Sus scrofa: one gene and its partners. The protein of the gene in region 2 purifies or fractionates together with the protein of the main gene of each other region. This does not show direct contact. Links are inferred from orthologs where the notes say so. Each region holds a gene or a part of one and is shown on either strand. Other genes may lie near its edges. The genes, in order: PATL1, LSM4 and PRMT5.

Region 1 (9,749 bases), about 48 Mb from region 2:
TGGTGGAAACAGAAAACACCTCTTCAGAGAGGACAAAGACTCTGTGGCCTTGTTTACAAGTTTTGCATTATATTTTAATTTCTATTATATTGCTAAGCCTTTTGTCCTAAAATCTGCTGCACCAAGGGTTCCTCCCTGTAACTTTCTAGGACATTTGTTACAACCTTGTAGACTACATGAGAAATGACCCTCTGGGCAGCCCACCACTCTTTTCCCCACCTCTTTATAACCTTTGCAAGCACCCGAGGACAATGTTTAAAAGCAACCATTCTCAAAGCCTAGTCCTAGAACCAACAGCATCAGCATCACCTGGGAACTTCATATAAATGCAATTTTTAGGTCCCATTGCAGACCTGCTGAATCAGAAAATCTGGGGAGTGGGGTGGCCCAGGAGTCTGGTTTTTGTTTTTCTTTCTTGTTTATGGCAGCACCTGTGGCATATGGATGTTCTCAGGCTAGGGGTCGGATCAGAGCTGCAGCTACATGCCCACACCACAGCCATGGCCACCAGATAAGAGACTCGTCTTTGATCCATGCTGCAGCTTGCAGCAATGCCACAGCCTAACCCAGAGTGAAACTAAGGATCAAACCCACACCCTCACAGAGACAGCATTAGGTCCTTAACAAAGAGCCCCAAGGGGAACTCCCAGGAGTCTATTTTAACAAGCCCTCCTGGTGAAGCTGTTGTATAACACTTGTTGTACATTACTTGATGAAAATTAATACATCATCTGAAACTAGGCTCACAAAAAGTACATTTTGTTCCTTTACCATGATCTAAGAAATAGGATGTATAGAATCTGTAAATACCGCAGTGGATTTTTTTTACAACCTTTGGAAAAAGGATGGCAAGGCCAGAGAAAGCATGATAGCGATGCTAATTGATGTCGCCTCTCAACTGTCAATCGCCTTTTCCACCTAGCTGGTGTGCAGGAGAGACTTTTCTTCCACTCACTCAAGAGACACTCTCCAAAGGCCTCATATCTTATTTCGAAAGAATTACTTGTGAAAAGAATTTTTACCCTCTCCATCTTAATAATGGGCCTACACAGCTCAAGAAAATACATTTGCCTAAAGTGGCCCTCATTCATCTCCCTCAAAGACAGCTGTTGCATGAGAAAAACATAATTTTATCGACCATCTCTATCTTGTTTTCTGTTTCTTTCATTTCTGCTCTTTACTATTTCCTTATTTATCCTTTCTTTGACATCATCCTATAGTTCATTTACATTCAGGCTTTCCTATTCTCTCATAGAAACTGCTTTAGCTGTATCTCAAGTCTTTATACGTTAATAAGTTTATCTACTTTCCACTATGTTTTCTCAAGCAGTCCATTAATTAGAAGTGTGGAGTTTTTTAAAATGTTCTGATGTCTGGAGTTCTCATTGTGGCACAGTAGGTTAAGTATCCAGTGTTGTATTTGAGGTGGCTCCAATCGCTGCTGAGGCACAATTTCCATTCCCTGCCTGGTGCAGATCCAGTTAAAGATCTGGTGTTGCCACAGCTGTGGCAAAGGTCACACCTGTGGCTTGGATTTGATCCCTGGCCCGGGAACTTCATTTGCCACCAGTGCAGCCAAAAAAAAAAAAAAAAAAAAAAAAAAATTCTGACATAATGATCAGAAAACTTGATCTGCAACATCTAGAATCAGCAAACTCTTTCCGTAAAGGGCCAGAGTAATTATTTCAGGCTTTGCTAGCCAAATAGCCTCCATTGAAAGTATTCAATTATGCCTTTGTTGCCCCAAAGCAACTAAAGACAATATGTAAATAAATGAAGATGGCCGTCTTCCCACAAAACTTTACTTTGAAAAAAAAAGGCAGCTAAGCAGATTTGGCTGTGGGTCACACTTTCCCAACCTTTGGTCTATATGGCACCAATTCTCACTGTTAAGAAGTGCCCCTACCTAATACATGAACTTTTGTAGTGTTCTATGCGTGCTTAAAAGTTATCATCTTATCCCCAGCCTGCTCCACTTTAACATTTAGGTCTGTCCCATGTAAATATCCTCTTTTGTTAAACTGTCACAATGATTAAGAGACTGGGTTTCTGGAATGAGAGACCTGGTTGCCGCTTGCCATTGAGTGGTTTAGGATAAACTGCTTAACATCTCTAATCCTCAAATTCCTCATCTATGGAGAAAATAATACCACCTACCTCACCGGATTGGCATAAGGCAGACTTCAACCATCAGTAGAAGTACTACTGGAATCATCATGCCATTGAACCACTACTTTGTGAGGCAGGTATCATTAATCCCGTTTTCCAAAGAAATTAAGGCTCAGACACGTTTAGGTAACTTGCCCCAAATCTGACGGCCCAGTGGCAAAGCACTGATTCCCACCCAGAACTTCTATTTCCAAATCCAAGTTTCCACTACTCAGGCTCTGATTAATCCGGTCATACCACCACGTAAGGAATTTACTCTATGCCACTCCCAGGCGAGGCTGCACTTTAAGACACCGGAGAAAGGAGTTGCGAAACTGCACAAGAATTCGTGGTGCAAGGACTAAATTTCGTAGCCAAGTTTAGTCTTCAAGGGGAAAGAGTGAGTTCGGCTAGCGGAGATAACAGTTCTCCAAAGAGACTTCTGAAAACAGGCTGCCAAGGCACCTGGACAAATGCTTTTCTGGTCCTGATCCTCTAAGGAGGTGGTGTCACCCTACGGCGCACTCAGCCTCGATGACCTTGCTGCCCACGGCTGTGCTGCCTTTTTTGGCTCCCTCACTCCACACGCTTGATGTGCCTGAGCCCTAAAAATACCTCCCTGGTTGAACCTCCCTAATAAGCCTTCGGTTTAAAGAAAAGAGGAAAAAAAAGCCTTCATCTCTGAGACACATAAATCACAGCCCTGACCTGCTGTTGACTCAGCGGGTGACGTGCCGCTGAAAGTGGCGACGAACTCAGCCCCTTTCGATGACCTGAACTTTAACTTTTTTCCCCTCCACTCGGTGCCTATCGTATGTCGTGAAGACCGCCAAGCAACCCGAAGACGGTGTTGGACGCTGGAAAAAGTGCCCAGGAATGTCCATTTCTCCCAGCCTAAGCTAAGCCTGGGACTCTCCAAAGCCATATCCTGTGACAATCACAAGGCTTTTCTCCGCCCCGTCGGTGACGGAAAACTCGTGACTCGAACCTCAGCGTCGGGCGGGCGCAGAGAAGCCGGGGGCGGAGCTACAGGTTCGGATCGCGAGGAAGCCCCCGACGGGTGGCGCGTGCGCAGTCTCTCGCCACGGGACCTCCTTCCCGCCGCCGAGACTAGGAAGCGGGACGCCAAATCTGTCCCCGCGCAGCCGCCGCCGCCGGGCGCGGAGCGGGGCGGCCGCCCTCCCCGAGGCGCGCCTGCGCACGTTCCCACGCACGCTCCGGCGTACGGCGGCGGCCAGGGGTCGCGAGCCGGTGGAGGACCCGCGCGCGGAGGAGCCCGGAGAGTCAGCGCTTCTTCCCTCCCTCCCCCATTCCCCTCCCCGCTCCCTCCCCCCCCTCCCCAAGAATGTTCCGCTACGAGGTGAGCTGTTGCGACCGGAAGTGACCCCTCCCTCCCGCCGGCACGCGCCCCCCTCTCTGTTTCTCTCACGCTCAGCGCGTCGGTCCGCGCCCCTCGGGGGGAAAAGGGGGGGCGGAGGGGCCGGCAGGACCGAGCAGAGTGTGTGGGCTCTGGGGTCGCGGGTTTAGTCCAAGGGCTGTGAGCTGGCTTCGTGGGGGCGGGACTGTCCTATCAGTTGCTACTGAGGAGAGTTGACCTCTGTTTGGGGGTGGGGAGGGCCCGTTAAGTGCGGTAACCAACCACCCCCCACCCCACCGTACCCCCGGTGGGGCTCGGCATTGAGAGCCTTGCACCCACCCGGTGGCACTTAAGGCTTAAGGAAGAGCCACAGGGTAAAGCCCAGGGACGCATTTCCCGCCTAAGACCCAGAACTATCATCTCGCATTAATTACACATAGCCCCTTACTCGCAGGCAACCGTCAGGTCACCCGGGCCTGCACTTGCCCTTTGACTGGGGCGGAAGACTGTTTACTGATGAGAGCTCCGAGTGGGGAAGGGGCGTGTCCAGCAGAAGTTTTTTCTGGGCGAATGGAGGGAAACTGGGGGTTCGTGATGGTCCCTGGAATACAGCAACAGAGTTATGACGCTACCACTGAGTCTCTGTATGACCTTTAGCGACTGCTAATCACTAGACAGAGTTTCTGGATTTGTAGAAAGGGTGGGTCTAGACGATCCCTTTCCAACCTAAAAAGCAGTGATTCGGTGAAGTAGATCTTTGTGATTTGGGAATGCTTCTGGAAGTTGCCTCTGATGTGGATGCAGTTGCACATGCTTGCTTTGTCTAAGTTTGGAAGGACCTAAGATGGCCCTTTGGCCTAACGTTTCTTTTGGGAACAGCCTAGCTGAGAAATAGCCGGCAAGGTGTTATCACAAATGTGCCTGCCAGAGAGTGTGGAATTCTGATTCTGAGTATTTGAAAATTGGGGCTGTGTATTCTTGCTATTTGATGGGAATGGCTCGAGATCAAACTGACTATATGTAAACATGGAGAGACATGCTGAGATGTGGTGGGGCAAAGTTCCCCAAAGAAAAGAAAACTTGGAAAAATAAATGAAATGGGGGGGGGAGTGTTTAAAGTAGAACATACCCAAGTGATATCTAGCATTGTTTAACAATACACAATGTTTGCTTCAATCTTTTTCTCCTTTGATCCTCACTACTTGCTGAGGCAGGTGGTGGTGTCCTTGTATTACCACCTAAGAGATTGTGGCTTAGAGCCTTAATACAGGCTGAGACACAGTAGGTGCTCAGGAGGTATTGAATGAATTCATCAGAACGGCTGTGATTTGCCCAAGTTGATATCACTTGTCAGAGTTGAGACAGAACTTAAACTTGCCACATCCCGGCCTTTCAAGAGTTTACTTAATTGTGATTGAAATCTTAGCTTTCTGTTTTATCACCAGTTTTGGGCCTGTAGAAAGAAGGAAGAGGAAAAATGATGAGAAAGCTTCAAAAGGGAATAATAAAAGGGTTGAAAAGATGACATGAATATGGGGAAGATAAGAATTTCATTGAAAAATAGATGTAAAACTCTAGCAAAATGTAAAGTGTTTGCTTTCATTTGTCATTATTGTAACCAGTGATGGAAAGGAAGTTACAGGCCTAATTTCTTGGTTGCATGAGGAAATGCTATTATTAGATTCTTGCTGAAAAGAGAAATGGAAATTTGGGGGAAGAGGTTAAATGAAATAAGGAATAGGAAAGAGAAGCTGAAAGAAACGATTTGCAAATCTTCCAATGTCGGGAAAATTGGGGGATGGAAAAAAATGCCATCTGTACAAAAAGTCATAATGAAGCTATTGTGTTGATTGGGAAGGTAAGAACATTTTTAGAACATTTTTTAAGTGAGGTTGTGAACTTCACGAATTATCAGTCTCTCTCTCTCTCTTAAAGTCTTTGGAGGATTGTCCTCTGGATGAAGATGAAGATGCGTTTCAGGGGCTGGGAGAGGAAGATGAAGAGATTGATCAATTCAATGATGATACATTTGGGTCAGGTGCAGTTGGTAAGCGATATTAAGTACTTTTGTCTTCCTCTGGTCTCTTTTTGCCTCACTTAGAAAATCTGGTGTTTTCTAAGCCTTGTCTTTTCCAGCTTTATGATCTATCGTTCTAAGTTGACACTATAAGAAATTCAAATGGTTAGACAAGTGGACATTTTATAAAGGCTTAAAATAATCCTAGAAGAAGGACTTTTTTTTTTTTTTTGGTCTTTTTAGGACCGCACCTGTGGCACATGGAGGTTCCCAGGCTAGAGGTCGAATTGGAGCTATAGCTGCCAGCCTACGCTACAACCATGGCAACACAGGAACCAAGCCACGTCTGTGACCCACACCACAGCTCATGGCAACACTGGATAGAGAAGGAAGTTTTTTGTTTTTTTTGTTTTTTTTCATGAAACACGTAACTTAAGGAAAACTAGTGCATTAGGAGAAAACTAAGATTCATATATGTATGTTTGAAAATTTTTATATGGCCTGACCCTGCTTTTGTCCTATAGTAAGTATATTTAATTACATATTTTATTCCAGGAATTTGGTAGTAAGAGGTCTTTGTAAGTTAGAAAGGTGTTGTGCAAAAATGAAATTTTCTGGAGTTCCCATCGTGGCGCAGTGGTTAACGAATCCGACTAGGAACCATGAGGTTGCAGGTTCGGTCCCTGCCCTTGCTCAGTGGGTTAACGATCCGGCGTTGCCGTGAGCTGTGGTGTAGGTTGCAGACGCGGCTCGGATCCCAAGTTGCTGTGGCTCTGGCGTAGGCCAGTGGCTACAGCTCCGATTCAACCCCTAGCATGGGAATCTCCATATGCCTCGGGAGCAGCCCAAGAAATAGCAACAACAAAAGACAAAAAAAAAAAAAAAAAATGAAATTTTCTCAGCCCTGGGTATAGATAAATATTCTAGGAGTTGGAAAAGATCAAAAAACTAAAAAACCAAAGTCAGCTAGAGGCCACAGGCTTATAATTACTGAAATGGGAGATTCAGGGAGCAAGCTTGTATGATAAAGTTTGAGAATTAGAGACCCTAGAGCAAGTATGCTAATAAGTTAAAATTAAATTGTACTTTGGAAAGAAGATAAGAATCAATGCAGATATCTCCGCTTTGACTAATGGTGTTGAAAAGCAGCAACGACTTCATTTATGTTGGGATGTGTGAATGTGGGATTTCTTTGCACTTCTATCTAAGCAACAGATATTCAAAGTTAAGTAATAAGAAGAGGAAATTTATCAGTCGTGGGTAATCCTAAAATGTTGAATATCCAAAACAAATAAAGGGTCTTAAAAATGTTTTGGTTACTGGTTTTTCAGTGAAATAAACAGCTTAAATTTATTAAAGCTTAGAATGAGTTGAGTGAACTGGCGAAAATGAAAAAGTATACTCTCTTCAATCAGGGTTTACAAAATTCACTGGAGAACTAAAACTGCTGCTATTGGGAGCAGCTAGAGAAGCCTTTAAGTTAGAAAGCTGGGCTCTGTGGAAGAGGGCACCGAAGACCTTTTGGATTTCAGCCATAGTTTGGGGATGAGATCGTCCAAGAAGACGACGTGATCTAAGATGCTGTTCTCTCTCCATGGAGATCACAGCGAAGGGGGCGGATGGAGACTAGAATTACAAAAGCAGGGAACTGATGTGAATTGCAAATTGTACATGAAACTTTAGTAAAAACCTATAGAATACAATAGAAGCTATGGACAGTGTGTGCTTATATCTGGAACTTTTTCTCTTAAAATATTGAACTTAATGTTACCATTTTTTAGCAAATTCGCTTATATTAAAATGAAATACATTATGAAGTTCCCTTGTGGTGCAGCAGGTTAAGGATCTGGTGGTGTCACTGCAGCTATTTGGGTTGCTGCTGTGGTACAGGTTCAATCCCTGGCCTGGGAACTTCTGCATACCACAGATGTGGCCAAAAAAAAAAGAATGAAGATATACTGTTAGCATAGTAAATGTCCTCTCTTTTGAACATGGATAGGAGAGGAATAGTTTCACCTTCTCACTGATTTCTAGGGTGTTGTGGACAGTCTCTTGTTACTGTTGTTTTTCTGAGTTTATATTTCTCGCAGGATAGGGAAAGTACTGCCTTAAAAGAATTTTAAAGTGTGCAAAACAATATTTTATATGATGGAAGAGAGAAGTACACACATTGAAAAAGCCCTTAGGGTTACACAGGAAAAGAACAGATGGTAAAAAGTAAAGGCAGTGAAGTAGCATATGATTAGCCCATTTTGCACCCTGAGGCACAAGGATGATTAAGGTCTTCTTGGTCAACAAAGTTTATAATGGCAAAAAGAATTCCACATGTGAGCCCTTACCTTTGAGAGTATAATATACTTGAATTGTAAAGTTAAACTCTTGTTTCTCGTAACATCTTAATATAAATAATATACAGCTTTATAAAAAGAAAATTCTAAAAATTCCTTTCTTAGCGACCTGTGATTTGTTTAATATACCTCTACAGGTGGATATAGAGCTGGTATAGAGAATTTAAACCGGGAAGTAAAATGTCAGACCTATGACATACATTTTGGCCTGATGGTTTTTTTTAACTCAAGGAGTGTCTTGAATAATACCTGTTGGTGCGGTAGTTATTTTAAGTCTCTGGCTACGGATGCTCTGATGTCACCTTTCCTTAAGAAACCAGTCACTGTCTTCTGTGTGGAAAAATGTTTGTATCATCTTTGAGCAATAAATGGGCCACAGTATTCTCAACTGATTCTCTAAAAATAAAAGCTTACACTTACAAGGTGCTTATTCTATGCTAAGGACCATTCTAAATGTTTTACATATATCATTAATCCTTACAGTAGCCTTGTGAGTTAGATACTATTATTATCCTCATTTTAGCAAACGAAGGAAGGTGCCAAAGAGGTTAAGTAACCATAAATACAGTCACTGTAGACCACCAGTTATTTTAAACAGTCTTTGTGGAGTCTTTAGGACTCTCCTGCCTCCACATGGAAGGGCTGCAGCTGTCAAGCACCCAAGTCCTAAGTACTAGACCACAGGGGAGCTCCCTCTACTTCCTTTTTATTGATAGCTGCTAAAATCTTTAGGGACTGAGATTGCGCTAAAATTAAATCACCTCTACTTCCTTTCCATTTTGTTTTTATTTAAAAATATCCCTTAGACAGACTTGAGGGAACTACCACAAGTTTAAGTTTATAAAAGCAACCAGGAATTCAGTAACCCACATCAGGGTATAGGTTAATTGGCTGAAGGAAAACAGGCATCTCTTTCCCTTCATTTCTCTTATTTTTTTCCCTGCCCGTTATCATTTTGACCAGGGTGGAGCAGGGTCAGGCACTAGCATATCCTCTTTCTCCTTTCTTTAAATGAGGTCTATGGAGAAATTGTATGGGGAGAATGTCATTAAGGAGACTTTCAGAATTCTTTGTTTCTATGTTGGTTATAAAGGGAATTTTATGTTCTTTCTGTGTTCGATTTTGTAGGACATAGAAAGCAAAACTAAAATAATAAAATTACATGGGTTTTGGTGCATGTTTAGAACAGGTAAAGGTAGGATTAAAGTGAAAAGATTATTTAGGGAAAGCTTCAGTGAGGAGGGAAAGGTATCTGTATTTGAATGCTGACAGGAGCAAAATAGTAGAGCTTTTATGATGGAGGCAGAATGGAATGGCGATTGGTAAGGATGAGAGCCCTGGAATGAGAGAAGTGATGGGATAAAAGTCTGGTTCTAGGGAGTTCCCATGGTGACTCAGTGGTATGGGACCTGAGTAATATCCATAAGTATGCGGGTTCTATCCCTGCCTCTCTCAGTGACTTAAAGGATCCAGCGTTGCCGTGAGCTGTGGTATAGGTCGCAGACGTGGCTCGGATCCCAAGTTGCTGTGGCTGTAGTGTAGGCTGGCAGCTGCAGCACCGATGTGACCCCTAGCAAAAAAAAAAAGGTCTAGTTCTAGGGAGGCTGAAAGAATTTTGAAGACTTTCATCTATGCTCCGGCTAGACTCAAAAATACTACTGTGTCAGCATAAAACCAAGAAAACAAGCTAGTGTCAGTGCCGCAGACTATATGGTATGTGTAAAAATAGAGACAGTTCAGATGAAGAGGAACTGACTCTGGTCCAAGTCACCCTCGCCTTTTCCCCAGCACACTTGTAGTAGCCTCCTAACCGGCCTCCCTGCTCCAACAGTGCTGCACCCTTCCTCCCAAATCTGTTTTCAACACAGCAGCCACAGTG
Region 2 (9,785 bases):
GTTTCAGGGTATGACACTTTTATAGATGTTCAAACATAAAGCCATTTTTCCCTCCTTAAAAGAAAACATAGGAGTTTCTTGATAGCACATGGGTTAAGGATCCAGTATTGTCACTGCTGTGGCTTGAGTCACTGCTGTGGCACAGGTTCAGTCCCATGCCCAGGGAACCTCCACATGCCGCAGGTGTGGCCAAAACACGAAAAAAAAAAAAGAGAGGGAAAATTAAAAAAAGAAAACGTATGTCTACCAGTTTCACAACATTGCCAGAATTGAGTTTTATGATCCTTCTCTCCTCCCCCCCTTTTTTAAAGTGGAGGGTAGTGTATCTTTATTAATTTAATAGGTACATTGGTTCATACTCTTTAGGTTTCTGCTGCCAGAAATACAATTTAAACTGGACTGGAAAGAATAGTGTTGTCTCTGCAGCAGCTCAGGTCACTGCCTAGGCACAGCTTCTATCCGCAGCCTGGCACAGCAAGTTAAGGATCTAGTGTTGCTGCAGCTGAGGTGTAGGTTGAGGGCCCAGGAACTTCCATATGCCGAGGGTACAGCCAAAAAAAAAAAAAAGTTTAGGGGGGAATGTTTAAATTTTGAAAAGTTCAAAGAGCAGCTGTGCATTAGTGCAGGCTCTGCCAAATGCTAAGGACAGTATCCAAACTCCAAGTCAATTAAGCAACAAAGGACAAATTCTTGGGCCCCTATAAGTGGAAAGTCATGTCTTATAACCTCAGGAATATCTGATCAAACCATGCCTCTTCTCCACAGAGGAATTCCTTTGTATTTCAGATTAAACCCGCAAAAAGGAGTTCCCATCGTGGTGCAGCAGAAACGAATCCGACTAGGAACCATGAGGTTTCGGGTTCGATCCCGTGAGCTGTGGCGTAGGTGGCAGAAGCGGCTCGGATCTGGCGTCGCTGTGGCTCTGGTGTAGCCAGATAGCTCGTATAGCTCCGATTGGACCCCTAGCCTGGCAGCCTCCACAAGCCGCGGGTGCGGCCCTAAAGTGACGAAAAGACAAAAACAAAACAAACAAAAAACCTGGCAAAGAACTTATTCCAGAAGATCAGTTGTGATGGCACAGGACCTTCACTACCGCACTTTTAAAAACCTCTGTGGAAAGCGCTCTTCTCCTCCTAGACCTCCCAAGGGATAGGGATAGTCTAATGGCCCTCGGTTGGTCACGTGTTCCCCTTTAACCAATCACTATGCCCAAGTGGGTGGAGAACTCCGAACTTCAACTCCGGAGTTGAAAGAGCTAACTCAAACTGCAGTAATCGCAGTCTGCCACACGGGGTCACCCAAGCAGAGTTTTAAAGGATGATCCCTTGCGCAAAAGGAGAAAGACTGCACATAGAAAAGTCTAGAAAAGTCACAAAGATGTGAACCGACATGCGATTTTCTTCCTACTTCTACCAGCGTGTTGTTGCTGGAGCACTTCATGTATCCCAGTTTCTATTGTTTACATCACAACGGCCTTTACCTGCGGCAAACAATACTTGGCTAGTCACCTCAACCCAGTTGGCATATCCAGCGTTCTGCACACTTTCCAGACCTCACCAGCAACCCTGGGAGCATCCTCAAGCCAATGATGAAGGCGGAAATAAACACTGCCCTGACCCTGGGTGGGGCCTCTATGAGACACAAGCTCTTATGTTGATTCCCGACGGTCCACAGCTGTACTAACCCTCAGTTGCCCACTTTGTCACCTGCTCATCAATGTCCACTGCAGAGCTCCTTCCCTCCCTATCTCAGGTATCCATTCCCAATGGGGGCTTCTGGTGTTTTCCCCCTGCATACTCTATGTGTCTGTGAGTCCTCATCTCAGGGTCAGCTTCTGGGGGAGGGCAGATCCCATTTTAAGACATGAAGGACAGGGGAGTTCCCGTCGTGGCTCAGTGGTTAACGAATCCGACTAGGAACTATGAGGTTGAGGGTTTGATCCCTGGCCTTGCTCAGTGGGTTAAGGATCTGGCGTTGCCATGAGCTGTGGTGGGGGTCGCAGACGCAGCTTGGATCCTGAGTTGCTGTGGCTGTGGTGTAGGCCGGCAGCTACAGCTCCGATTCAACCCCTAGCCTGTGAACCTCCATATGCGTGGGTGTGGCCCTAGAAAAAGGCAAAAAAGACAAAAAAAAAAAAAGACATGAAGGACAACTGTTGGTTCAGGGCTATCAGGTGCTTCACACTTTATATGGGTTTCACATTTGATCACTCCACACAGTAACCTCGATTGGCAGAGATGATTACAGACAGTCCTCAATTTAAGATGGTTTGACATTAGCGTTTTCGACTTCACAATGTGTGAAAGCATTCAGTAGAAATTGAACTTTGAATTTTTTTTTTTTTTTTTTTTTTTTGGCTTTTTAGGGCTGCAGTTGCGGCGTATAGAGGTTCCCAGGCCAGGGGTCTAATCGGAGCTGCAGCCGCCGGCCTACGCCAGAGCCACAGCAATGCGGGATCCGAGCCGCGTATGCAACCTACACCACAGCTCACGGCAACGCCGGATCCTTAACTCACTGAGGAAGGCCAGGGATCGAACCCTCAACCTCATGGTTCCTAGTTGGACTCGTTAACCACTGCGCCATGACGGGAACTCCCTGAACTTTTAATTTTGATCCCTTCCCAAGCTAGTGATATGTAGTAAGGTACTTTCTCATAATGCTCAGCAGTAGCAGCGAGCCTCAGCTCCCAGTCAGTCATATGCTCACAATGGTAAAGAAGGGATACACTTATAACTGTTCTTTTACTTTCAGTACGGTATTCAATAAATCACATAAGCTATTCAACACTTTATTATAAAATAGTTTTGGAGTTCCTGTCGTGGCTCAGTGGTTAACAAATCTGTCTAGGAACCATGAGGTTGTGGGTTCGATCCCTGCCCTCGTTCAGTGGTTTAAGGATCTGGCGTTGCTGTGAGCTGTGGTGTAGGTTGCAGACGCGGCTTGGATCCTGTGTTGCTGTGGCTCTGGCGTAGGCCCGTGGCTGCAGCTCCAATTCGACCCCTAGCCTGGGAACCTCCATATGCCGCGGGAGCAGCTCAAGAAAAGGCAAAAAGACAAAAAATAAAATAAATAAATAAATAAAATAGTTTCATGTTTGATCTTGCTCAACTGCAGGCTAATGTTCCAACAGAACATCGATAACAGAGATCAGTTCTAACCCCCATATCTGTGAATATGGCCTTATTGGAAATAAAGTCTTTGTCGATATAATTAAGGATCTCAAGATGAAATTTAACCTGAGTTTAGGAAGGGCCTAATACGAGAAAGGAATGCCTTCATAAAAAAAGAGGAAGAGGAGTTCCCGTCGTGGCGCAGTGGTTAACGAATCCGACTAGCAACCATGAGGTTGCGGGTTCAGTCCCTGCTCCTGCTCAGTGGGTTGACGATCCGGCGTTGCCGTGAGCTGTGGTGTAGGTTGCAGACGCGGCTCGGATCCCGCGTTGCTGTGGCTCTGGCGTAGGCTGGTGGCTACAGCTCCGATTCAACCCCTAGCCTGGGAAACTCCATATGCCGCGGGAGCGGCCCAAGAAATAGCAAAAAGACAAAAAAAAAAAAAAAAAAAAAAGAGGAAGAGTTGAGACACAGAGACACACAAAGAAAAGCACCATGTGATGACAGAGGAATCTGTGCCAAGAACTACAAGGATTGCTGGCAGAGAAGCATGGGATGAATTGCCCCTCAGATCCTTCAGAAAGAACCAACTCTGCTAAAACTTTGATTTCAGTCTTTCGGATTAAGTTTTACTGTTTAAAACCACCCAGTTTGGAGTTCCTGTTGTTGCTCAGCAGTAAGGAACCGGACTAGGTATCCATGAGGACTCAGGTTCAATCCCTGGCCTCAATCAGTGGGTTAAGGAAGCTGCGGTGTAGGCCACAAATGCTGCTCAGATCCTGCATTGCCATGGCTATGGTGTAGGCAACTGTAGCTCCATCCAATTCGACCCCTAGCTTGGGAACGTTCATATGCCATGGGTGAGGACCTAAAAAGCAAAAAATATTCAAATAAAAATAAAAAAATAAAACCACCCAGTTTGATCATTTGTTATGGCAGCCCAAGGAAACTAATACATTTGTCTATTTTGTTTACAGTCTGCCTCCCCAGTGGGCTCCTAAACCTCAGGAGGGCCAGGAGTTTTGTTTGGTTTATTCTCTTCTGTGTTTCCAGGAGGAGGCCCGTAGTAGATGCTCAATAAATATTTATTGCATGTCCGTGTATCAAGTGCTCAGTACGTGCCGGGCACTCTTCTTTTACAAGGCATAAATCACTTGGCACTCATTGCAACCTTCTAAAGCAGACACTATTATTAAGCCCATTTCAAAGGGAAGCAAACTGAGGTTCACACCGGTACGTCTAGCCTATCAAAAGAAGTGCCCTGGACAACGGTCAACTACAATAAAGAGAATCAGAAGAGTAGGAGCTCGAAGGGACACATGGCAATAACCATAGAGCTGCCATTCCTCCATTTGGAAATTGGAGGCACTACCCCGTTTTGCCCACAGCGTGGAGCCCGGAAAAATCACTGAAGATTGCACCTGCGCAGGCGCCCTTACCCACAAGGCCTCCTGCGCCGGCGCACATTGCTCCGCCCCCTTTTGCAGCACTCATAGCGGCACTTTACGACTCTCTCTCTCATTTCTCCGGTAGGAACGCGGCCCGCCCCGCCCCTCGTGTTTAATAGGCCCCGCCTTACTCCGCGTGGATTGGTTGGCCTTCCCATGAGCCTCGTGCTGACTGGCTCGCGTTGCTGCCACTCCATTTCAGCCTAGTGGCGCGCAGAGCTGCAGCTACCGGCGGGAACGTGAGCGGCGGCGGCGGCGGAAGTAGCCCACGAGCCTAGTCCCCGCCGACACCATGGTGAGGGCGGTGCGACGGGGGAGCCGGCCGCCAAGGGCCCTCGGGGCGGTTGTTGGTTCAGGGGCGTTGTGGAGCCAGCCTGTAATCTGGGCCTTGAGTCCTGCCCCTTCGCCCAAGGTGGGGAGGACAGGCCGGAGAGTGGAAGAGCTTCTCCCAGGACACCAAGCACGTCGGTCTCGGGGGAGCTTGGGATTGGATAGAAATGAAATCACAGTATGGCAGTCTGGCAGCAGTCTTCCCATTTTGCAGATGGGGAAACTGAGGCCAGAGAGGAAGGGGACCTGCTGAAGGGCCCGGTGAATGCAGCAGAGTGAGTTTTCGGACGGGGAAATGGCTCCCAGTGCATCCGACCCGATCTGACCTCCTAGACAGTAAAGCTAGAGCACCAGGCAGTAGGGGGCCGGCCTTCTTTCTCAAATTCAGCCAATCTGGGGAATTTCGGGGGTTGTACTGCCCTTGGAATGCTAGCTGCGCAACCTCTTATGCCTCTCCTTTTCAGACTAAAAAGCAGACCCAAAGCAAGGTTAACTTCTTCCGGGGTCACACAGCATATGGTTCCAGGGGAAGGGGGGGCGTTTTCAGCCATGGATGGGCTAACCGTATCCCAGTTTAGAAAACAAAAAAATCGAGGCCCTGGCAGGAAGTCTCCCCAGGGCCATGCCATCTCACAAGTTGTGGAAATTGGAGATCTAAACCAGCGTGCCTGTGTCCCCAGTGAGTGACAGACAGGGAAATGGAGGCCCACACAGAGGAATTGAGCTGGGAGAGAACCTGGCCCATCAGCCCTCGAGTCCTCTAAGATGGTCGCTGCACATTTTTCGGAGCTGACCATGAGGGTTCAGTAATTCTTCTGGTCATTGTAGGGATGGAGAGAAGGGAGCAGCTTCGTTCTCTCTGTTCGTCTCTCTGGAGGGTAGAGTTGGTCTGTGGAAGAATCCATTTGTTAAGCTCCATGGAGATAGGATCTCTGTTTTATCCTCATATATTGCCAGAGCCTAGAACAGTGTCTGTGCAAAGTCTGTGTTCAGGAGTGGCTAAGGCATTACACACTGCCTGTTCCTTGTGGTCGGGGTGGGGCGGAAGCCAAGCCAAGGTCTGGGTGAGGGAGTGGGTGATCAGCAGCTTCCTGAGTTGGGAACCTCAGGACACCATTAAATCCAGTTGTGGAAGTTTCCATTGTGGCACAGCAGAAACGAATCCGAGTAATAACCATGAGGTTGGGGGTTTGATCCCAGGTCTTGCTTAGTGGATTAAGGATCCAGTGTTGCTGTGAGCTGTGGTGTAAGCTGCACACGTGGATCAGATCCCATGTGGCTGTGGCGCAGGCTGGTGGCTGTACCTCCAATTCGACCCCTAGCCTGGGAACCTCCATATGCCATGGGTGCGGCCCTAAAAAGCAAATAAATAAATGTATTTAGGTGTGGATGGACCTAGACCTGAGGGCCAGACCCCAGATGTTCTGAGAAAGGCTAGAGAAAAGAATTCTCTTCCCTGAAGCTTTTTATGACTCCAAATTCCACACAGCCCTTGCTCCCCCCTGAACTGGGTGATCTGCCCTCTCCTGTATCCCTGGCACCTTCATGCTTTCCCCCACCCCAGCATACCCCTCGCTTTCAAGTTCACCAGGTTCCTCCTCTTCCTTTGGCCTTTGTCTCCAACAGCGTTTGGGAACAAGGAAGTAGATATGACCACTGCTGCGGTTGTTGAAGTCTTGGAGGGCTGTCCCAATGCCACCTTTCCCTACCTGAGCTTCTCCTTTTCCTTGTCTTGTGAGGTGTGGCAAGTATTCCCCACCCCACCCCACCCCTGTCACCACCCCCTGCCTGGAGTGCCTCCCTGGGTGGTATGTGCTATATTTGTCAGCAAATATTTACTGAGTCCCTTGCATGTGCCTGGCCCAGTGTTCAGCACTGGACAAAGTCCACACCCTCTGAATTTTCCAGTCTAGCAAGAGGCTTGGTGTTTCCAGTCTAGCCAGGGAGACGTAATAAATAAACAAGTTAATTAGAGACTGGCTATACCCTATAATAGAAGCAGAGGGTGGCCCAGGTGGAAACCTCATTCCCTTGATGGGGTTATAATGAGGGGCTGGCTGAAGCAGAAGTCACCAGCCTGGGGGAGGGCACCCCAGGTAGAGGGAACCAAGGAACAAAGTTTGACCAATAGCACCAGGCGTGGTGTGAAGAAGTGAGCGGGCCAGTTTGCTAGAGCCGTGTCAGGCCTGGCTCTGTGGCTAGCCAAGGGAGCGGGTGTGCAGGGGAGGGTGTGAGCAGGTGCTGGTTCCATCTGTGTCGCTGCCGTCCTCTGAGGTCACACTGCTGGCAACAGCTGCAAAGGCTGTGGGTCCTCCAGGGGTGTGCTACTCGTAGCTGGGACAGGATGGTAGCCTGAGAGAGACAGCCTGAAGGCAAGGTATGCCATAAAAGGACATCTGTGGGTCTTCTGCTAACAGGCATTAATCTGCTTTCCCCGGCTTTACCCAGACCTTGCTCTGTATCCTTGGGTGTCCCTCCTAGCTGCTGGTACCTCATCTAGAGGGGCCTTGGCTGTGCTACTCCTACTCCCTCCACCTCTCCACACAGTCCATTTTCATTCTCACCTTCCAGGACAGGGGCTGGCCTGGCCCTGTCCCCGTCTCCGGTGATCTGGGAGGAGGACTCAAGTGTGTCATTGCTCTGGTCCTGATTCCCGTTGTGGATACAGCAAACAGGCTTGTCCAGGAAAACCCTGAGCTTCTCTATAATAGAATACCACCTGGCTCTGTGGCTCCCTCATGCATATCTGAGCCTCCTGTTCTTTCTCCACAGCTTGCTGTGCTCAGGCAGCATCAGACAGATGTGTTCCTTTTTCTTTTTTCCTTTTTAGGCCCACACCTGCAGCATATGGAAGTTCCCAGGCTAGGGGTGGAATTGGAGCTGCAGCTGTCGGCCCATACCACAGCCACAGCCACACGGGATTAGAGCTACGTCTGTGACCTATACCATAGCTCACTTCAACGCCGGATCCTTAACCCACTGAGCAGCGCCAGGGATCGAACCCACATCTTCATGGATACTGGTTGGATTTGTTTTCACTGTGCCACAACAGGAACTCCAGACAGATGCATTCCAGAGGAGGGGGCAGGGGCTGCATGTTGCCTGTGTTGGGACCCCCAGCTGCCTTCTAGGACCAGCCACCTCTCCTCCACCTCTCCTCCACGTGGCACCTTCCTCCTCTTTATCTTGCCCCTCCAGGAAGCCAGTGCAGGAAGTGGGCTTGGGCCCAGCTTCCTGCCACTGCTGGATCTCCCCCAGGTGGCTCTTCTCAGAGAAGGCCTGTGGGATGTGGCATCCGCCACCCCCACCCCAAGCCCTTCCATAGGGAGCCGTCCTCTGGGGGTGGAGGGCCTCTTCACAGAGAGGCCTTACGGTCCCCACCACCTGGAGAAGTGGCTGCCTCCTATTGGGAGTGTGAAGGGTGGGCTGGAGCTCTCCTGCAAAGAACTCTGGGGGGTCAGGCCAACTTAGAATTCCCAAGTCACTAGGGCAAGGTGTCATCCTCCCTGAGACACTGTCCCATATTGTGGGGCCCTTGGTCTAGAACCTTCACCTGGCCCTACTGGATAGGCTGTCATTGGACCCTGGACCCAGGCACTCCCATCCAAGTCACCCTTCTGGAGACCCAGAGACAGGGTCTAGCGTGTGGGTTGTGATTTGCATTCCCAGAATGAAAAGAGCCGATTTCTTTCCCAGTTACACTATATGTTCTAAAAAAAGAAATTTGGGGAGTTCCCACTGTGGCTCAGTGGTTAATGAATGCAACTAGAAACCATGAGATTGCGGGTTCCACCCCTGGCCTTGCTCAGTGGGTTAAGGATCCTGCATTGCTGTGAACTGTGATGTTGATCGCAGACACGGCTTGGATCTGGCATTGCTGTGGCTCTGGCGCAGGCCAGTGGCTACAGCTCCAATTGGACCCCTAGCCTGGGAACTTCCATATGTCGCGGATGCGGCCCTAGAAAAGACAAAAAAAAAAAAAGAAAAGAAAAGAAATTCAGGACTCCCATGTTCCAGCAGGTTAAGAATCTGGCGTTGCCTCTGCCCTCTGCTGTGGCTCTGGTTACATCTGTGGCATGGATTTGATTCCTGGCCCAGGAATTTCTGCATGCTGCGAGTAGATCAAAAAAATAAAATAAAATCAGTAATAATGGAAAAAGAACTATCTTGAAGGTTCACCTTATCTGGGTGGGTTTTTAAATTCCATCCTTTTGTCTCCTGGCCCTTGCGGTAACCACAGACTTTTTCTGAAATGTTTCTTCCTCTCACCTGCTCAATTTCTCTCTCTGAACGGGGGCTCAGACGTGGCCTCCTCAGATCACGTGGACTCCCAGTTGCATTGTGCCTAGCCCATTCACTCTTGGTTCAGTCAGGGCTGTCCCCACCCCCACCTCAGATGTGGGCCTAGCATGAACTGGCTGCTGACTGTTGGGGGTCAAGCCAAGCTCAGTTTCTGAGCCGCAATATCCCCATCCATGAAGTGGGTGTGATGATAACCACCTACAATGCTGAAAACAAAAGGGCTAGCTAGAGTTGTATGTATTAACATGGATACATCTCAGAAATGTCAAAAAACAAGCAACAGCAGGACCTGTGTGCTGTGATGCTGCTGATAAGCACAGAGGGCTGGTGCTATCAGAGGTGTGAGTATCTGCAGCTACAAAGAAATGTCCAGAATGGTCAGTACCAAGACCAGAGGGCAGCTGCCTCTGAGATTGGCAGGGAGGGGGTCTGAGACTTTTCTGTCCTAACTGTGTGTGTCCTGGAGTTGGGCAGAGTTTGGAAAAGGCATTTCTGTCGTGGGGTGCGTGCTCCTGCGCCCCTAATATTGGGACTGGAGTCTCGGCCCTGCCTGGGTGGGGGGGCCCACAGCACTAATGAAACAGACAAGTCATG
Region 3 (9,909 bases), on a different chromosome or scaffold from region 2:
GGAGCAGTAGGAGGGTCAAACGGGCCATTATTTTGGTGTTGAAGAGTGCGGCTGGCTGGGCAGGCACAGAGGTGAGTGAAGGTGATGCTGGGGAGGGAGGCAAGTGCTGAGGGAGGAGGGGAGCCCAAGAAAAGGTGAAAGGAGGGTTTAAAATGGACTGGCAGTGTTGAAACAAGGACATACAACCAGGAGCAGGTAGAACAACTGGGTCTGAAGGTGAGGAATGCTGGGTGTGGGTACTCCTTTCCTTCCAGAAAAGTTTCCAATGCTCCGCCCTGTTGGTCACCAGCTTTTGTTGGAGAAAATAACATTATTTCTTACCCATCATCTCCCTGTCTTCATCTCAGCAAAGGCCTGCATTCTATAATATAACAGTGATGGACATACTTTGGAGCACAAGAGTTCAGCATGAAGAGCAGAGCGGAGAGAAACAGAGCATAAGACAGACTCTACCGACTCTGGCTTTATGTCTAGGGCTAAGTCCTACAACAGGTTCTTTATTTCTTTTTCAGTCCTTCCCTCTGCTCGTCTGTAGCTCATATAGACAGACCCACAGTCCATGCTGTTCTTTAAGGCAAAGGAACATGCAATAGGACAGGTAGGGTGTGATGTGGTATGGAATTTCTCTGTTCAGCATCACGCTTGCCACACAGCGGAGGCAATTTTGAATGAAAAAACAAAGACATCCCAGACAAATGAAATTCAGCCCATCCAAACTTATTTTAAAGTCAGTTAGAAATTCTAGGCTCTTTTTACACAAATTCTTTTGAAAATTATTTTACTGATGGCAAAACTGACATTACCATTTCATAGATTTTCTTCTCTCCCTTTCATCCATGGATGGGTTAGTTAACAACCAACAGAGCAGCCACCAGCTTGACATTAGGAGGAAGATGCCAGGAGCACAGATGGTCCACAGCCCAGATAATTAGCTTCTGAAGACGAAACAACATCTAATAAGTCTTCTGTGAATGTGGAGTTTGGTTGGGCACAGTTGGGGGAGAGAAAAAGCAGGCCTGCCCAACAACTCTTTTTCTTCTTAAAATGTCAGAAGAGCACTCACCCACTTCCTGTTAAGTCCCTACTCATGAGACCTGCAGGGAAGAATTCAAATAAATATCGTAGACATTCCACCTCAAAGGAGGGGAAGAATAACTCCGCACTCCTTACGTGTGGAATGCACATAATGACTTCCAAAGAGTACAGGATGGAAAGGGGGAAGGCATGTAATTTTCCACTGGAGAGAACTGATAAACACTAGTTCTACCAGGTGATAAAGGTCAACATCAATAGTCATAAATCATGTTGATGGTATGTATTCTTGATATGACATGATGAAAATGGCACTTGAGCTCTGTGATCTTCCTCTCCCAAAACCATAACCTGAGTCTGATCATGAGAAAACCATCAGACAAATTCCAATAGAGGGCTGTCTTGCAGTAAACCTGACCAATACTACTCAAAACAATTAAGGTTGTCAAAAACAAGGAACATTTGGCAGTTCCTGCTGTGGCACATCAGAAACAAATCCAACTAGTATCCATGAGGATGCATGTTCAAACCCTAGCCTTGCCCACTGGGTTGGGGATTTGCCGTTGCCCTGAGCTGTGGTGTAGGATGCAGCTGGGGTTCAGATCCCGTGTTGCTGAGGCTGTGGCGTAGGCCAGCAGCTGTAGCTTCGATTCATCCCCTAGCCTGGGAGCTCCCATATGCCATGGGTGCGCTCCTAAAAAGCAAAAAACAAGGAACATTTGAGAAACTGTCATAGCCAAGAGGAGCCTAAGCAGACATGAGCAGATATGACAACTATATGTAACATGGTACCCTGGATGGGATCATGGAACAGAAAGAAGACATTAGGTAAAAATTAGGGAAATCTGAATAAACTATGGACTTCAGTTAATAATTATCAATAATAACATATCAAGAGTTCCCTGGTGGCTCAGCAGGTAAATGTACCATATTAACGTTAAGATGTTAATAATAGAGAAAGATGGGGGGGTGGAATGTGAGAACTCCTGTACTATCTCTGCAATTTTTCTGCAAATCTAAAACTTTTAAGAAAAAGTCTAGGAGGTGCCACTGTGGTACAGTGGGTTAAGAATCCAACTGCAGCGGTTCTGGTCACTTCAGAGGCATGGGCTGGATACCTGGCCTGGGAGGGAACTTCCATATACCTTTTTTTTTTTTTTTTTTTCCCATTAAAAAAGGAAAGAAAAAAAAGACAAATTCTAGTAATAGTAAGATGAGACACAAGCACCTCCAACTCTTTTAGGCTTCATAGGCATTTTCGTAGTTCTCTGACTTTCTGACTTTCATCCTTTTGGGGCGCTTACAATGTATTCCCTTATAGCTTAGCCTATCCACACACATTCCGTGTTTCTCAGGACTCTGTCGTCCACTGCGGCGATCTCATTCGGTCTCCTGGCTTCAGTCACTATCTCTCTTCTGGCGATTTGCAAATCTTGTCTGGTTCAGATCACTGTTCATACAACTCTCTATTACACAGCGCCCCCTAGACGTCCAAGTCAGCATTTCCAAACCCCAGCCTCGATTCTCCCTAAACCAGCTTTTATCATTTGTCTCGCTCAAAGAGGCCAGAACTCTGGGCATCACCCCCAGACTTCCCTTTCTCAGACTCCCTGTCAGTCGGTCTCTAAATTCTGTCAAGGCCTCCTGCCTAGGGCCTTTTGTATTGATTCTCTTTTCCGTTCCCCGCTGCCAAGTCCGCAACACCTCTGGGCTTCCTGCCTTCAGGTATTTCTCCTGCCTAGATCTTTTTTTGCTTCATTCCTTTCCTTCTTTTCCATCCCTCTAGCAAGCATGGAAAAGAAAAATGTAGAGACTCTTTCCTGTCTCTGCCAGTCAATTCATAACTTCTCTCCACTGTAATCTCTCACCATGAATTCCTTTATCTTCAGTGGTGTGTGTGTTTCAGTGTTTGCTTTTTGTATTTGAGATACCGAATCACAAGGAATTTGTGGCTGAATTGCCACAATCTGTTTAAAAATATACTAAGGCCCATTCAAAATCCATTTTAAGAGCACCAGCCATTAACTCAGTTTTCTTGGTGCATTTGGATGCACCAAGGCAGGGACACAAGAACCATCTTTGAACTAGGTATTATTAAACGCTGGCATGAAATAGTTGCAGAATGCAATAACATTAAGACCTGAAAATGAGAGCGAGAGAGGACAGCGAAGAAATTTTAAAAGGGGGCATTAAAGCATTGCAGGGGATGCACCAAAAGCGTTAGCCCCACCGAGCCAGCCAGGAGTCGAACCTGGAATCTTCTGATCCGTAGTCAGACGCGTTATCCATTGCGCCACTGGCCCTGAGACGACTTCTTCGTTCTCAATGATGACACTTCAAGCTTATACTGCAGGGTTTCATGGGACGTGTAGTCTCTTACCGGAATTTTACCAGTACATGAAGCATTATGGGAGATCGAAGTTTGTCGAGAACCAGACCCTGAGATTGGTGACTCTTCCGGAGCCGTGCCCTACGTCACTGTGCAGCCTGCGGATTGGCAGGAAGAGCCACTTCCCACCCCTCCTCCACTTGCTCGGGACCCTGGGAGACGCTTTGGTTGTCAGGGAGACTCGTCCCGCCTTCCGGGGGCTTTTTTTCGGCTTTGTGATTGGCTGCCAGTGTCAGGGAATCTCGGCGTGGACTGCGCGAGGGAAAAGATGGCGGCGATGGCGGTCGGCGGTGCCGGTGGAAGCCGCGTGTCCAGCGGGAGGGACCTGAATTGCGTCCCCGAAATAGCTGACACACTGGGGGCTGTGGCCAAGCAGGGGTGAGGGCCTGGACTTCCGCGAACAGAATGCGGGGTCGGAACTCGGGGACTGAGAGGGGCAGACCAGTCATCCCTGGGAAGCAGGGGTGAGGGGGTCGGAGTGGATAAGATTAGGGTGGGAGAAACCGCTAGTCCATGTAGGGAGAAGCCTCCGGCCCTGGAGCGTAAGAGAAAGAGAAAGAAAGACATATTGGGAACGTGTGGTCCCTGAACCCCAAAGTCGAGAGAGTTATCAGGTAAACTCAAAAAGAGGGCGTACGACCTCAAGGGCCCTGGAGAGCGAGGTGCGAGGTTCTTGTCTCAGAGTGGGAGGAAGTGTTATGGGGCTAGGGAGAGGAGAGATGAACCTTGAGGGCTGAAGCCTGGGTAGTACTGGAGCAGATCTGGATATGACAGTCTTGGAAAATCAGTGACAACAGAGTAGAAAGTCCACGTGGCGTGGATTTTCATCTTTTCTCTTTTCTCATCTTTTCCATGGCTCTGTTCTGGGAAGAAATTGAGGCACAACGCAGTGGAAGTGATATTCCCTAAAATGGGCCGAATTCAGCAGCCCATTCGAGTGACTGACTAATGGCAGCTGAAAGGGTTGTGCAGAATGGAGATAGCCTAGTCCAATTGCTTGGATCGCTGGGCACTGCTACTCTCTTTACATGACGATTCTGGGTCTGTCGTGGTTGTAGGTTTGATTTCCTCTGCATGCCTGTCTTCCACCCGCGTTTCAAGAGGGAGTTCACTCAGGAACCTGCTAAGAATCGGCCGGGTCCCCAGACACGATCAGACCTACTGCTGTCAGGAAGGGGTAGGGACCATCCCACATGCCCCTTAATTATTAGAGGCAGTAACAACTTATGTTTTATCAGTGCCTTCTTCCTCTTCCTTTCTTGACCTGGATGTATTTGTTCAACCCTGGGATATGGATAACTCTTGTTCTCTCCTTGCTTACTGCTCAAAGCCTTAGTTTCCTATTCTGCATCAGGCTTTCCTGTATCTGTGATAGAAAAAGCCTTTTGTCTCTCATCTCTACTATTCCCTGTTAAGAAATAGAAATTGAATGCATAAAGTGCTGAACCTCACTCAGTCTTTGTCTTTCTTGGGTTGGGGAGTGCAGACTGGAATACACTAATTGTGGGCAAGCTTTCCCCATGGATTCGTCCAGACTCAAAAGTGGAGAAGATCCGCAGGAACTCTGAGGCGGTAAGACTGACATCTTCACCGAATCTTTCTAAAGATCAGATCTGTAAACAACCTGGATGGGGAGAACAGATTTTTCCCCTCCATAACTTAGTAAATCTGATGTAATGCACTTAAAGCTGTTTGAGGAGTTCCCCTTGTGGCTTAGTGGTTAATGAATCAAACTAGCATCCAGTGGGGGAAAAAACTGTAACTGCAATGTATACATCTAAGGATGACCTGACCCCCTTGCTGTACAGTGGGAAAATAAAAAAAAAAAAAAAAAAAAAAAACTAGCATCCATGAGGATGAGGACAAGGGTTCAGTCCCTGGCCTTGCTCAGCGGGTTAAGGATCCGGCATTGCCGTGAGCTGTGGTGTAGGTTGCAGACATGGCTCAGGTCCTGAGTTGCTGTGGCTGTGGCGTAGGCCGGCGGCTTCAGCTCTGATTGGACCCCCAGCCTGGAAACCTCCATATGCCGTGGGTGCAGCCCTAAAGAGACAAAAAAAAAAAAAAAAAAAAGGTTGTTTGAGTTGCTAGCTCTTAACTTTGCCTCTTGTTCTCCATTCTAGGCTATGTTACAGGAGCTGAATTTTGGGGCCTATTTGGGTCTTCCAGCTTTCCTGCTGCCCCTAAATCAGGAAGATAACACAAACTTGGCAAGAGTTTTGACTAATCACATCCACACTGGCCACCACTCCTCCATGGTATGGCTGAGGGCCTCCTTTCCTGCTGCACATTATGGTAGTCAGGCTGTGCTAAATATCTTCTTTTCCTAGCCATTCAGTAAAGGGTGCATTAGGCAGAATTTAAATGTCAGTCCTGCCTACCCACAACTAAAAGTGGTAAGCAGAGACTTATAAAATACATAGCATATTCTATTATCTCCAGAAACTTATAATAAAGTAAAAGACAGGGCAGATACTTACATAAGGATGTACACGAGATACGTGTGCACATACATAAAATCACAATTGGGAAAAGCATGTAAGGGGATTAAGTTGAAATCTAGATCAAGATCTTTTTATTTATTTATGTTTAAGCTTTTTTTTTTGTCTTTTCAGGGCTGCACCTGTGGCACATGGAGGTTCCCAGGCTAGGAGTCAAATCAGAGCTGTAGCTGCCGGCCTACACCATAGCCACAGCAACGCCACATCTGAGCCGTGTCTGCGACCTACACCACAGCTCATGGCAACATCAGGTCCTTAACCCACTGAGGGAGGCCAGGGATCAAACCCACAATCTTAGCTCTTAGTGGTTCTTAGTCGGATTCGTTTCCCCTGTGCCATGACAGGAACTCCTGGATCAAGATCTTTTTAATTGAAAGAAGCTTCTGGACCCAATGAGTTCAAAATAGAGTTCTAAATAGGGCAGAGAGGTGTTTTCTTGTGGCGCAGTGGGTTAAGAATCTGGTGTTGTCGCTGTTGCGGCTTGGGTTATTGCTGTGGTGGGGTTTGATCCCCAGCCTGGACACTTCCACATGCCAAGGGCACGGCCAAAAATAAATTAATTAATTAATTAAGGTACAGAAGCTATTTATTGTTCATGTGCAGTTCTGGATGCGGGTGCCATTGGTGGCACCAGAGGACCTAAGAGATGATATAATCGAGAATGCACCAGCATCACACACAGAGGAGTACAGCGGAGAGGAGAAGACGTGGATGTGGTATGTCTCCTTCTGCTGCTGTGCCAGGGCAAAGGGTAGGGTGAGAGGAAGTACAGGGTGGGCCCTGCAGGAGGGTCTCCTTGAGGTATGGTGGTTGGTGGGCTATATATATTTGACTGTATTTTCCTGTGTTTGACTGAACAGGTGGCACAACTTCCGAACCTTGTGTGACTATAGCAAAAGGATTGCGGTGGGTAAGTCCATGAAGGTCCTGGCATAGGTTGTCCTTTGACCTTCTGTGATGAAGAATCGGGAATTTCGTGTATATGTGCTTGCTCCTTTCCCTGTGCCTCAGTCTGCCTTGTCTTGAGAAAAATAGATCTTGCACAAAAGAGCAAGGAGAGACTTCTGGCTTATCAGTGACTGACAGATATTTTCCCTTGTGTAGCTCTTGAAATTGGTGCTGACCTTCCATCTAATCATGTCATTGATCGTTGGCTTGGGGAGCCCATCAAAGCAGCCATTCTCCCCACCAGCATTTTCCTGACCAATAAGAAGGGATTTCCTGTTCTTTCTAAGATGCATCAGAGGCTGATCTTCCGACTCCTCAAGGTGTGTAGTAGAAAGGTTCTAAACGTGCTCCAGCTACTCTTCTTGCTGCCTTATTCACACATATATGTATGATGGATTTTTTTTTTTTTCTCTCTCTGTGGGGCTAACTCTTTTCCTTTCTAATTTCTGGAGAGCAATTTCAGCAAAGTTGGGGGTCTTGAGAGCAAAAAGACAAATAGCAGTAGGAGGCCCAGAAATATTTCAAAAGGAACCAGGTCTCATGAGAACTTTGCAGAAAGTTTCATTTAAGAAGTTACAACAAGGAGCCATGGGCCAGGATGATGCTTATGTGGCATAGGAGGGTTTGTGCTGCTTTTGTTGTTATTTGGAGGTATTTGTTGGACCAGAGAACTGCTGATCTGGGCCATATTTTATGCTAGAGCTCTTCGCCCACAAACCATAATAATATCCTCTTGGTTTAAAGATTGTGTCTGATGGTCTGACTTATCCTCGCAGTTGGAGGTGCAGTTCATCATTACAGGCACCAACCACCACTCAGAGAAGGAGTTCTGCTCCTACCTCCAATACTTAGAATACTTGAGCCAGAACCGACCTCCACCCAATGCCTACGAACTCTTTGCCAAGGGCTATGAAGACTACCTGCAGTCCCCACTCCAGGTGGGTCTGGAGTGCACTGAGAGGAGGGAGGTGGCGGACGGAAATGTCTCCTGAGAGCAGGTGCCTGAAAATCCTGACAAAGCTCAGGGAGCAGTGGGAAGGCTTTGGTACTCTGGTGCACTGTCCTTGCTAGAAACTGGCTCACTTACTTTCTCTTTTTCATTTCATCAGCCACTGATGGATAATCTGGAATCTCAAACATATGAAGTGTTTGAAAAGGACCCCATCAAATACTCTCAATACCAGCAGGTATAGTGTGGATCTCAGATTGGCTAGGATGACCTGGGTGAGGATGGCATTACAACCATGAGGTCTTTTCTCTTCCCCCAGGCCATCTATAAATGTCTATTAGACCGAGTGCCAGAGGAGGAGAAGGACACCAACGTCCAGTGAGTGCTCTCCCCATGAGCCCAGAGCTTTGCATGCCTGTGTCTCTATATGCCGAGTCAGCTTGACTCCTGTCTCTTTCATAGAGTGCTCATGGTGCTGGGAGCGGGCCGGGGGCCCCTGGTGAATGCCTCCCTGCGGGCAGCCAAGCAGGCTGACCGGCGGATAAAGCTGTACGCTGTGGAGAAGAACCCAAATGCTGTGGTGACGTGAGTAGCAACCTCCTTGTTGGCAAGTTTGTCCCCAGTGCCAGTTTTTCTTAGCTGTGTCCTCACTTGTATCATCTCTGTTTTAGGCTGGAGAATTGGCAGTTTGAAGAATGGGGAAGCCAGGTGACAGTAGTCTCCTCGGACATGCGGGAATGGGTGGCTCCAGAGAAAGCAGATATCATTGTCAGTGAGCTTCTGGGGTCCTTCGCTGACAATGAGCTGTCACCCGAGTGCCTGGATGGAGCCCAGCACTTCTTAAAAGGTGCCTCTAGGCTGGGGTGTATTGCATAAGGGGACTGGATTATCAGCTGGGAAGGTGGGAGCGGGTTGGGGAGGGATGGGTGTGGCAGTAGCCTAGAGGAAGCTGCAAGGTTTAGGGGAAGCGGGGAAGGCGGGTAGACTTGGGGCAGGAGCCTTAGCAAATGAAGCAGTCTCTCTGAACCTAGGTGTTCACGTCTGTAAGATGAGGGGAGGACCAGAGCAAAGACTCAATCTGAGGTCTGTGAACTCCCTGAGCTGACATGATATGTACCTTGGGCTTAGCTTTCATCAGGATCTCAGAGGACTTTGTATTAAGAGAGTTAAGAACCTCTAGACTAGAAGACCTTGGGTTCCTTCCAACTTTACTCTTGTGTGACTATAAATTAACCTAGAAGTGGAATCCCCCAGGACAAGGAGTAGGGAGCAGGTCGGCCTGAGAATGTGACAACACGAAACTGCTTGAGTCTTTTGATGTGGGAGGTCTGGGCCTTCACTGAGTACAGATACACTGTTTCTAGCCCTTGGGAAGTAATGTGACCTTCTGCTCTGCAGATGATGGCGTGAGCATCCCTGGGGAATACACCTCCTTTCTAGCTCCCATCTCCTCCTCCAAGTTGTACAATGAGGTTCGAGCCTGTCGGGAAAAAGACCGTGACCCTGAGGTGAGGCCACTCTCTTCTTCTTCTTCTTCTTTTTTTTTTTTTTGGCCATACCTGCGGCATGCAGAAGTTTTCAGGCCAGGGATCAAAACGAAGCCACAGCGGTGACATTGCTAGATCCTTAATCCACTGAGCCAACAGGGAGCCATTCTCTCTTGGAGGACTCTTCTCTCTTTAGTCCCTTTCTTTTTCTATATTAGCATAACTGTTTTCTTCCACTGGAGAAGATGAAGAGGTGAAGGAATAGTCGGGGATGTGGGAAAATAGTGGAAGTGGAACTATGTTGTGATCTTTAGTCCCCGAAGCTGGAGCTGTAGTCCCTGAGGTAATGAGTAGCCCTTGCCTGTCTTCTCCAGCTCTTGCTCTCTCTCTTGGGACAGGCCCAGTTTGAGATGCCTTATGTGGTACGGCTGCACAACTTCCACCAGCTCTCTGCTCCCCAGCCCTGTTTTACCTTCAGCCACCCCAACAGAGGTGGGTTCCTACATGGCTGTCCTCTGATGGGAAGGGTGAGAGGTTGCCCTCCTGGTTTCTTCCCTTGCTGTCCTGGGTCTGCTCTATCCGGCCTCTATCTAGGCTTCCTTTCCT

What was found.
Region 1: the proteins of LSM4 (region 2) and PATL1 purify together in Homo sapiens (co-immunoprecipitation; 4 studies listed by BioGRID and IntAct, with this or other methods). This does not show direct contact. The link is inferred for Sus scrofa from reciprocal best matches to the Homo sapiens genes LSM4 and PATL1.
Region 3: the proteins of LSM4 (region 2) and PRMT5 purify together in Homo sapiens (co-immunoprecipitation; 3 studies listed by BioGRID and IntAct, with this or other methods). This does not show direct contact. The link is inferred for Sus scrofa from reciprocal best matches to the Homo sapiens genes LSM4 and PRMT5.

Annotation. Positions count from the first base shown.
Region 1 is NC_010444.4:11,824,508-11,834,256, forward strand, and holds the start of PATL1 (protein PAT1 homolog 1), read left to right. Parts: upstream 1-3,587; 5' UTR 3,588-5,303; coding exon 5,304-5,363; intron 5,364-5,440; coding exon 5,441-5,552; intron 5,553-9,749. UniProt on the Homo sapiens protein: RNA-binding protein involved in deadenylation-dependent decapping of mRNAs, leading to the degradation of mRNAs. Acts as a scaffold protein that connects deadenylation and decapping machinery.
Region 2 is NC_010444.4:59,494,825-59,504,609, forward strand, and holds the start of LSM4 (U6 snRNA-associated Sm-like protein LSm4), read left to right. Parts: upstream 1-4,735; 5' UTR 4,736-4,851; coding exon 4,852-4,854; intron 4,855-5,103; exon of another isoform or gene 5,104-5,164; intron 5,165-6,826; exon of another isoform or gene 6,827-7,266; intron 7,267-9,785. UniProt on the Homo sapiens protein: Plays a role in pre-mRNA splicing as component of the U4/U6-U5 tri-snRNP complex that is involved in spliceosome assembly, and as component of the precatalytic spliceosome (spliceosome B complex).
Region 3 is NC_010449.5:76,107,321-76,117,229, forward strand, and holds the start of PRMT5 (protein arginine N-methyltransferase 5), read left to right. Parts: upstream 1-3,684; 5' UTR 3,685-3,689; coding exon 3,690-3,799; exon of another isoform or gene 3,800-4,035; intron 4,036-4,479; coding exon 4,480-4,598; intron 4,599-4,907; coding exon 4,908-4,993; intron 4,994-5,541; coding exon 5,542-5,676; intron 5,677-6,522; coding exon 6,523-6,635; intron 6,636-6,779; coding exon 6,780-6,829; intron 6,830-7,023; coding exon 7,024-7,187; intron 7,188-7,643; coding exon 7,644-7,805; intron 7,806-7,976; coding exon 7,977-8,054; intron 8,055-8,135; coding exon 8,136-8,194; intron 8,195-8,278; coding exon 8,279-8,401; intron 8,402-8,487; coding exon 8,488-8,663; intron 8,664-9,214; coding exon 9,215-9,324; intron 9,325-9,701; coding exon 9,702-9,795; intron 9,796-9,909. UniProt on the Homo sapiens protein: Arginine methyltransferase that can both catalyze the formation of omega-N monomethylarginine (MMA) and symmetrical dimethylarginine (sDMA), with a preference for the formation of MMA.